2 linked regions of the Oryzias latipes genome follow. The protein of the gene in region 2 purifies or fractionates together with the protein of the main gene of each other region. This does not show direct contact. Links are inferred from orthologs where the notes say so. Each region holds a gene or a part of one and is shown on either strand. Other genes may lie near its edges.

Region 1 (4,346 bases), on a different chromosome or scaffold from region 2:
AACTACATGTACTCTATCATATTATTCTATAAAGCACGATAGCAGAGTGACTTCTATTGAGCTGTTTTAGTCTGGCATGAACGTCGTGTTGAGACAACCACTCCTCCAAAACAAACTAATGTTCTTACAGTGCCGTCCTGCCTCTTTTCTGATCTTATGGATTTACATTGATAGATTTGATCCAGATATTCAGCTGAAGGTAGGACAAGGATATCTGGAGGACAAGCCGTACACGGGACACCCTAGATGTACCCAGTGTAAATATAACAGAAGGAATATTTTGATTGATGGCAGAGAAATGGTCTAATGGGGTGTAGTATGAGGACATAACAGCCCCTCCCTCAGTACACAGTGCATACTTGTATGTGAAGCACTTTAAAATATTCTAGTTATTAAAAAAATGTGATCCAAAGCTGGTAATCAGTTGTTCAGTGTGAAGCGTCGTTATGCAGTAAACATGTCAACAGGTAAAACCATTAAAGTAGCTGGGAATTCAAAGAGACACCAGCTTTATAACTAATAATCAGTCACCACAGACCAAAAGCTATCCAACTACAACTCACCAGAAAAATGCATGCATAGTTAAGAACTTCACTTCCCAGCATGCCCTGCTGCTGTCACAAAAGGCAGAATCAGGCTGTTGGTTCTAGTTCAAATCTAGAGCTTTATGAAAGAATGAAGATTATAGAGATGCATTTTTAAACGTTTTTAAACCCGGAGGTCAGGTTAGTCATCTCTCTGGGGGCAGAAGACAAAAACCATAAAGTGGTTATGCAAGCAGCTGGCTCCACGCCATCAGGCCCGGCGGTCACGTGGAAGGAGGGCTGGATACAATTATTTACTCTCCTGGGTCCTGTTTCTGCCTGCAGAGCCCTGTCCTCTTCCAACGTTAAGGTGTGTTTTCAGTGGATTAACCTCAAGCAGAGCCCGCCTTCACAGGCTGATGGCAGCCTGGTGTATTTAATGGAGTTTGTAGTTAAACCATGATATCCACACGTGTTATTACACTTTAATGATAGTCATCAGTTTGAGCTCATCAAGTGAGGTGTGTAACGTTTGAAAGAATCCGTCAAAACTCTGCTGTGTTCACACCTGAACTGGGCTGAAAGCTAACAGCCCATTACTATAGCTCCATAACACAACAGAAGAGCAGCAAAGCCAGTGGGGGTTTTCTATAGAACCACCCACACTAGATCTTCAGCAGCATGTTCCTGATACAAAAGGCAACATTGCCCTCAGAACAGAAGTACAACTAAGGTAGAAGTGTGCTGATTGGCTGCTGATCATCATCACCGCAGAAATAAAAACAAGACATGTCAGCTTCTTCCTGCAGATAATCCGCTGTGGCTCTTTGTTTACTGCCTGTTCCTCTTTGCAGATTTGTTGTCTGGTACTATGAAGGGGAAATCATAAACGCTGAACATTACTAATGTCTGCAAATCAAAAGGGCCACACATAAAGGCTCAAACGGATAAACTTCTTACTGAGAAGGTTTCTGGAATGACCTCCACATGTCTACGGTGGAGTCAACAGTCACAACAACATTTTTACCTCCATGGAGGCTTTTCCTTGACCTCACTGTGAAATGTTCTGGAGTCACTAAAAAGCAGGAACCAGACGTAAACGGAAGGAGCTTTGAAATGCCAACGTATGAAAGTCACGGTCATGTGCTGCTTCTCCAACACCCATCTGATTTTATTTGGATACAGTCAAATGTGTGGAGGAGAATAACTGACAGTCAGATACGTCCACATTATATCGTAATGTCTTTTCTGAGTGGAGATCTTCAGCTGTGAAAATGGTCTCGATCCAAAACTCAGGATTGTTTTTTTATTTACACAGTTTTATTGTTAAGAGCTGAATGTCAGACTCCAGCTATGCTGTTGCTGCTGAATACAAGTACAACTAGAAACATAATCCAATCCCAGACTGTAACCATTAGCAAACAATACGATGTCATAGATGGGATCAGGAAACAGACAGACAGCTGGATGTAAAGAAACCTTTGCCTGGTGGACGTTGGGCCTTCCTGATTATATCTGGACAGACAGACAGGACGCTTCCTTATAGAGTAAATGTGTTTCAGGTAAATCCACAACAGAAACACAAGAACACATGCATAAATGAACGGAAGTGTTTCGTTTAAGGACATGATGAAGCCTCGGTTTCTGAGTCCTTCAGAAACACACAGACAGACAGACAGACGGACAGACGGACAGACGGACAGACAGGGCCTCGTCCCAGAACTGCGTCCTTATAACCGGTCCAGTTCCACCATCGGTACGCTAAGCCGTCACAAAACGTCAAAGACCAAATCTTCAGAGTTTAACAGGAAGAATTCTGAACATCTCGGACTAAATGCTGCTTCAGACAACAGCCGAGTCTGCTAGCCTCTTAGCTAATGCTGCTAACAGCTGATCGTCGCTGAGCCGTTCAGGACACCCCGGAAAGAAGTCAGACCAGCCGCCCGACTCCCCTGATCGGCAGGTAGGGACCAGACCACGGCGTTTCCGTCACAACATACCCAGGTAGATGTCTCCAAACGAGCCGCTTCCAATTTTTCTGCCCAGTCTGTATCGGTTTCCAACTCTTAACTCCATGGTGAAGGTTCTGTGGTCAACCAGCTCTCTCTGAAAACGTTCAGACCTAAAGCACTTGGCAGTAAATCAAATAAAAAACAAAGAAAAGCGGGAACGAGCAGCGGCGGCGGGTTTCTGCCCAAAATCCGTTCCCCGGTGAGCAGTATGTATCCGGATGAAGACGGCTTCCAACAACAATCTTTCGCCTTCGCTTTTAAAATGTTACAAACGTCATATCGTGACAATACAGCGCTTTCTAGAAAGCTTAAAGTGTCCACGTTATGCTCGTGATGTCTTTTAGGTCGATAAAAGCTAAATTTCCGAGGATGACAACGGATTTTGGACAGAGTCTGGCGTCGCTGTGGGTCTCCCGCGTCCTGTGGCGCTGCTGTGAGCAGAACTCAGCAATCTGCTCCGCTCTGACGTCACTTCCGGTCCAGAGGAGCGGGGGGGGGGGGGCAGTTTGAAAGGTGTCGAGTTCCAAGCAGACAGCAGCAAAACAGCGGTTTGAATATAAGACACTGAAATAATTATAGAGATGACAAAATATGATTTTAATGCAACAATTGATACACAGATTATACAGATTAAAGTATTCTGTAATCACACTTTGAAATTAAAACAGGAACTATTTTTGTTACATTGATAAATAAATATTTTGATCTGAAAATGCATTTGAATTTTTTTTTTACTGCTTCTTCTTTTTCATTCTGCTGCTGCCTTTAGGGGGCGCCAAAGAAAATCATCGGACTCCGTCCAACCTTCTCTGCATCCTCCTCTCCATCCATGACCCTCCTCTTTGGTCTTCCTCTCTTTCCTGGCAGCTCCAGCCTCAGCATCCTTTCACCATCATCATCACTGTTCTTCCTCTTAAACATCTCCATCTGCTTGGATCTCCAGAACATCTGTGATCCGATCCTCTGATGGATCCATTCCTGATCCATCCTGGTCCCACAGAGAACCTCAGCATCTTCCTCTCTGCTGCCTCCAGCTCTTCCTCCTGACTCTGTGTCTGAACCGGGGGTCTCCACCGTGAGCCTCACGCGGCGCTTTTATTCCACTATTGTGGCTCTCTGACTTTGAAGAAAAATACAAACGATTTGAATAAATGTTGGCATTTATTTTAAGATTTTTTAACTGAGGTGAACTTCCATTAGCAGAATAAACTCTACTTATATTAAACCACTGCTGGGAGTTGCCATACTAAGAGGCTTGTGTGTCTAACCTCGTCTCTCAGTCTGTCCATCACCAAAGAAACAAGAAGGCGCTCAAAGCTGATCCTTGGCGTAGTCCCACCTCCATCTTCTCTTCTCTTGTCTCCCGGTTGTTCTGAAGATCTCCAACATTCTTCTCTGTCCCTGCAGACTTCTTCATCCAAACCACAGCTCTGCTCTCGTTTTCTGAAAAGACAACCAAACCACACTATTCCTACTTCAGGTTAGAAAATCTTTTTACTTTTGTTGGTTTAATGAGGCGATTGATTTTCCTAAATCCCATTGCTTTTACTGGCTGCATTTTTTATACATTTGTAATAGATTTTATTAAAATGTTCATGAATTACTTGATTAGAAATCCTATTTATTAGATGTTCTTTTTTATTTATACTGAAATTGATCACAGATTGTACTATAAGACACTCCTAGTCTTCCACACGTCACCTACAGTCAAAGAAGCTCATCCTGTCATGTTGCCTTGCATGAATGAGCTGTAGCATTTTACATCAGAATCTGGAAATGCATGTTAATAAACAGGGTTAACCTTCTACAT
Region 2 (4,246 bases):
GCTGCTTCTCCAGGCTCCCAGTCAGCTGGAGCACACGGCTCCTCAGATCCTCCAGGCTCAGCTGCAGGTCCTACAGAGGAGAAGTGTGGGGATCAGAATAAATCTGCTTTCATTCCGATTTCTTCCTCTCAGAAAACATTGGCAGTCATCTTCAAACGTGACGTTCAGGACTGAGGTTCTGGTGTTTGTTCTCGTACCTCCACCTCCTCCCGTTTGTTCTCCTCGCTCCTCTCGGTCCTGCATTTCTCCTTCTCCACGGCCCACTGAAGGTCTCTGCTCCTCTTCCTCTCGTCCATCAGCTGCTCATTCAGCTCCTCCACCTCTGCAGCTCTCTGCGACACCTCCGCCCTGTCGGTGGAAACTCGCTCATTATTTCCAGAGAAACAGGTTTCATGAACTTGTTGTTTTTCTGAGGCTCAAAGCGGAGAATCGATCCAGCATTTTAGTCGTGAATATTTCATACTCTGTGGTTGGTCCACATGGAGAACCGTTGTCAGATCGGTTCATTTTTCTGACTCTGGTCTGTGAATCCTCAGAAAAACCTCTAGATTGGATTGTTGTTTACTGAGCTGCAGGTTTTTCATCTTTACTGCCGTTTTCTTTACATGCAGTTAACAACAGCATCATATCATCATGCAGATATTAATGTGCATCATTGTAGGAACGCTTAACAGAAGCATTGGGATCAGTTAGACGTCCCTAAAGTTTGTTTCTTTTCTGTTCAGATCAGAACTTTTCCTTTAAAACGCTGTAAATCTGAACTCCAAGCTTCATTTCATCCTGAAGTCACCTGAGTCCCTCCAGCTCCCTCAGGTGTTTCTGCTGGACCTTAAGCTCCGCCTCCAGCTCCAGTCTGGTCTGGCACAGTTCAGCCTGCAGCTCCTCCGGCCGCGGCCCGCCTGCTCCTCCGCCTGCTCCTCCGCCTGCTCCTCCCTCCTCCTGCTGCAGCCGACTCTGAAGCTGCTGAATCTCCGACAGCAGACTGGCTCTTTCTGCGGTGAGGAGGGCCGCCATGGCGTCTCTGTGCCGCGCGTCCTGCACCAGAACCAGCACGTTAGGATCCAAACGGGTTCAGATGCTGGGACAAACATTTCAGGCTTTTCTAGAGTAAACCAACACGTCCTCAGAAGCGGCGTGCGGGTCCGGCGCGTCACCTGTTCATCCAGTCTGAGCTCCAGCTGGTTCAGATGGACGACGGCGTCACTGGTGTCCAGCAGACCCAGCTGGCTGAACCAGGCGCTCTTCAGCACGCTCCTCTGCCTCTCAAACACCTGCCTCACTGCGTCCAGCAGGTCCGCTCGCCAGTCTGCGCCGCTCGCCATCTGCAGCAGGAGGATCAGATCAACCGTCTGCAGGGAAGAGCCGCTGGACTCTCAGAAGAGGTTCCCGTACCTGCGCCTGAGCGACGACGGCTTTGAAGGACTCCAGCGTGGCCAGGACGGCGTCCCTCTCTTTCTGCCAGCCTGGAACGCCGCCGTGGCGTGCTGCTTGGCCCTCAGACAGGGGCAGCTCGGACAGGGACAGGACCTGCATGCCCTCCTGGTGGACCTCACGGATCAAGGACTGCAGAGAGCAGGAGGAGAACATGAGGAGGAGCGCTGTGACGGCGTCTGCAGGAGAACACGGCGTACCTTAATCCTGTCCGGCAGCGGGTCTTCAGCCTCCCTCCCGGCCCCCTCTGGGGTGGTCCTGAGCTCCTGCTGCAGGAGCCCCAAGCCCGTCCTCTGGCTGTAGTCAGAGCTGCTGTCTGCTGGGAGACAGACGTTCAGAAACGGAACAGAAACCCAGCTGCAGGTTTTTCTACAGACTCACCGCTGGTGTACCCGTCTTTGAACAGTGAAGCGGGGCGGTCCTGCCGTGAAGCCGGAGCCTAAAGAGACAGACAGAGGGTCAGAGGAAGCGTGGAGTAGTGCCCATCATCATCATCTTCATCGTCTTCCTCCTGCTGTCACCTGGGCAGAGCGCAGCTCGTCAATCACAGCTTTCAGAGCTTTGCACTCGGCCTCCAGTGCCTGCAGGTCCCTGCGCAGGTTCTCGCTCTCGGCGATGTGCCGCGCCTCCATGTCCAGGATTTCTGCGGCGTGGAGCTCCTGCATCTGGTCGATCTTCTCCTGGAACTGTCCGATCACCTCCTCCACCTCCTCCGTGGCAGCTGCCCTGGGCTCAGGAGCGGGCAGAGCTTCAGTCTGGGTGAAGGAGGTCACGGCGGTGGAGGGCTGCTCCTCTGAGCAGGTTCTTGGCTGAGGGCTGGGGGATTTGGCGGACGGCGTGCTGGAAGCAGCAGAGTTCTTCCTGGTGGCTGAGAGCTTGTCTTTGGTGCTGCTGACCTTCCCAGCCAGCTGTTTGCCTCCTTTTCTTTTGGGCTGAGAGGAGGAGGAGGAGGAGGAGGAGCTAGGCTGAGGAGATGGGGAGAGGGACAGAGAGCCAGACCCTGTGGTCTTCATCAAAGCTGTTTGCGCCTCCTGGAGCTGCTCCTTCAGACTGGAAATGGACGTCTCTCGGCTGTGAAGGTCCTCCAGCAGCGTCTGGTTCCTCAGCCTGCAGCCGCTGAGTTCCTCTTTGGTGGCGTTCACGTTCCTCCTCAGCTCCTGGAGCTCCTCGCCGAGCCTGGCAGCAGAAGCCTCCGTGGCTCTGAGGTCCTCCTGAAGCTTCTCGCTGTGCGTCCGGTAAAAGCTCAGCTCTTCTCTGCTGGACGCCGCCTGCGTTTTGACCTCCTGAAGCTCCTGGAAGAGCTTCGCGGTGTCAGCGGCGTCTCCCGAGGCTTTCACCTGCAGAACCAAACCAGCTCATCAACCAAAGAGTCGCTTCAGGAGAAACCGGCCGAAGACCGGGAAGAGGTTCCTCACGTACCTGGAGAAGTTCTCCTTTCAGGTGAGCGATGGTCATTTCTCGCTCCTGAAATAAAAACAGGATTTGTTTTGTTCAGACTCATCAATCCTCAGGTGAAGAATCCGGCTGAACAGTGAATCAGCAGAAACTCGGATTCTCGTCAGTTTTACTGATCATCTCTGGCGACGTCATGGCAGAGCTTCCGCGGCGTTGCCGTGGTTACCGACCTGCAGCAGCTCCTGCAGCTTCTCCAGACGTTCTCTGCTGCTGCTCAGCTCTTCTTTGGCGGCGGCGGCTTCTGCTTCTGCTTCCAGCAGCTTCCGCTCACAGACTCCAGGCTCTGCAGACTGTGAGCCGCTCTGCAGTCACAAGAGGGCAGCATCAAACATGGCTTTCTGCTGCTGCAGCGGGCCACACGTGCGCTCTCACGTGCGCTCTCATCTTACCTGCTGAATTTGGACCTGCAGAGTTTGGATTGTAGAAGACTTTTCCTGGAAACAAAAAGCTTTGGTTCATTTCTAGAGAAGATCAGAAGGTCAGAATGATGGAGGAGACGTCACGTACTCGGAGGTCCTGCTCCAGCCTCCTGCACACCTCCGTGTACTTCTCCAGCTCGTCTGTGGCGGCTGAAGCCTCCGACTTGACCTCCTGAAGCTCCTGCAGGAGGTCGGATGGAGGTGGCTGATCGTCAGAGGGGGTCTGAGGAAAACAGGAGAGTTTCTGAAAACCTGCAGAGCTTCAGATCAGAAAACAGGAGGAGGAATCTGACGGAAGGAAAGTCCAGGAGTGGGCGTGAAAACACCTGCAGGTGGGTTTCAGAAACAGCTGGTCCTAGAGAGGAGCGGCTGCATCTTAAGGGGAGGGGAGGTGGTCCCTTCAGGCTCGTACCACCACTTTAGGGGGGTCCTGAAAATGGGCCGTACCATTGTAGTGCGTGTGGTGGGTGTCTGTGAAGTACTGGTAAGGATAATGACAGCTGCCTACGGCGTCCTTACGCCTCACGCTGTGGTTAGTGAGGTGTGAGGACTGGATCTGACTGGATCTGATGGACCGCGGTAGAGTGAGGCTCGCACCCCAAATCCCCCGTAAGGGCAGCCGGGACGAGAGGCTTTCCTCCCAGCTTTGAACTAAAAATCATCTGAAGTTCCTCCAAATCTGTGCAGCTTTTCTCTGAACGTCCTCCTGCTCTCAAACTGCTGATTCAGCATAACGTCTGTGTGGGATCCTCAGCTCACCTCTGCAGATGTCCTCCGGCGGGTCATCTGACTCAGCAGGTCCATCAGCTCGCCCAGCCTCCTCTCGTACTGGTCGACCTCCTCCTCGGAGCTGGAGAGCAGCTCCTTCTGGAGCTCCTGGTCCTTCTGCATGGCGCCGAGTCCCTCCTCCAGGTCCAGGAGCTTCTGCGTCAGACGGGCCA

What was found. Proteins that work in one complex are often made in the same cells at the same time.
Region 1: the proteins of akap9 (region 2) and csnk1d purify together in Homo sapiens (affinity purification with mass spectrometry; 4 studies listed by BioGRID and IntAct, counting the BioPlex papers as one, with this or other methods). This does not show direct contact. The link is inferred for Oryzias latipes from reciprocal best matches to the Homo sapiens genes AKAP9 and CSNK1D.

The regions. Positions count from the first base shown.
Region 1 is NC_019866.2:24,956,533-24,960,878, forward strand, and holds the start of csnk1d (casein kinase I), read right to left. Parts: upstream 2,993-4,346; 5' UTR 2,601-2,992; coding exon 2,525-2,600; exon of another isoform or gene 1-2,524. UniProt on the Homo sapiens protein: Essential serine/threonine-protein kinase that regulates diverse cellular growth and survival processes including Wnt signaling, DNA repair and circadian rhythms. It can phosphorylate a large number of proteins.
Region 2 is NC_019869.2:412,140-416,385, reverse strand, and holds part of akap9 (A-kinase anchor protein 9), read right to left. Parts: coding exon 4,065-4,246; intron 3,529-4,064; coding exon 3,394-3,528; intron 3,321-3,393; coding exon 3,276-3,320; intron 3,189-3,275; coding exon 3,057-3,188; intron 2,896-3,056; coding exon 2,851-2,895; intron 2,769-2,850; coding exon 1,953-2,768; intron 1,871-1,952; coding exon 1,813-1,870; intron 1,751-1,812; coding exon 1,632-1,750; intron 1,564-1,631; coding exon 1,393-1,563; intron 1,323-1,392; coding exon 1,155-1,322; intron 1,036-1,154; coding exon 791-1,035; intron 349-790; coding exon 198-348; intron 71-197; coding exon 1-70. UniProt on the Homo sapiens protein: Scaffolding protein that assembles several protein kinases and phosphatases on the centrosome and Golgi apparatus. Required to maintain the integrity of the Golgi apparatus. Required for microtubule nucleation at the cis-side of the Golgi apparatus.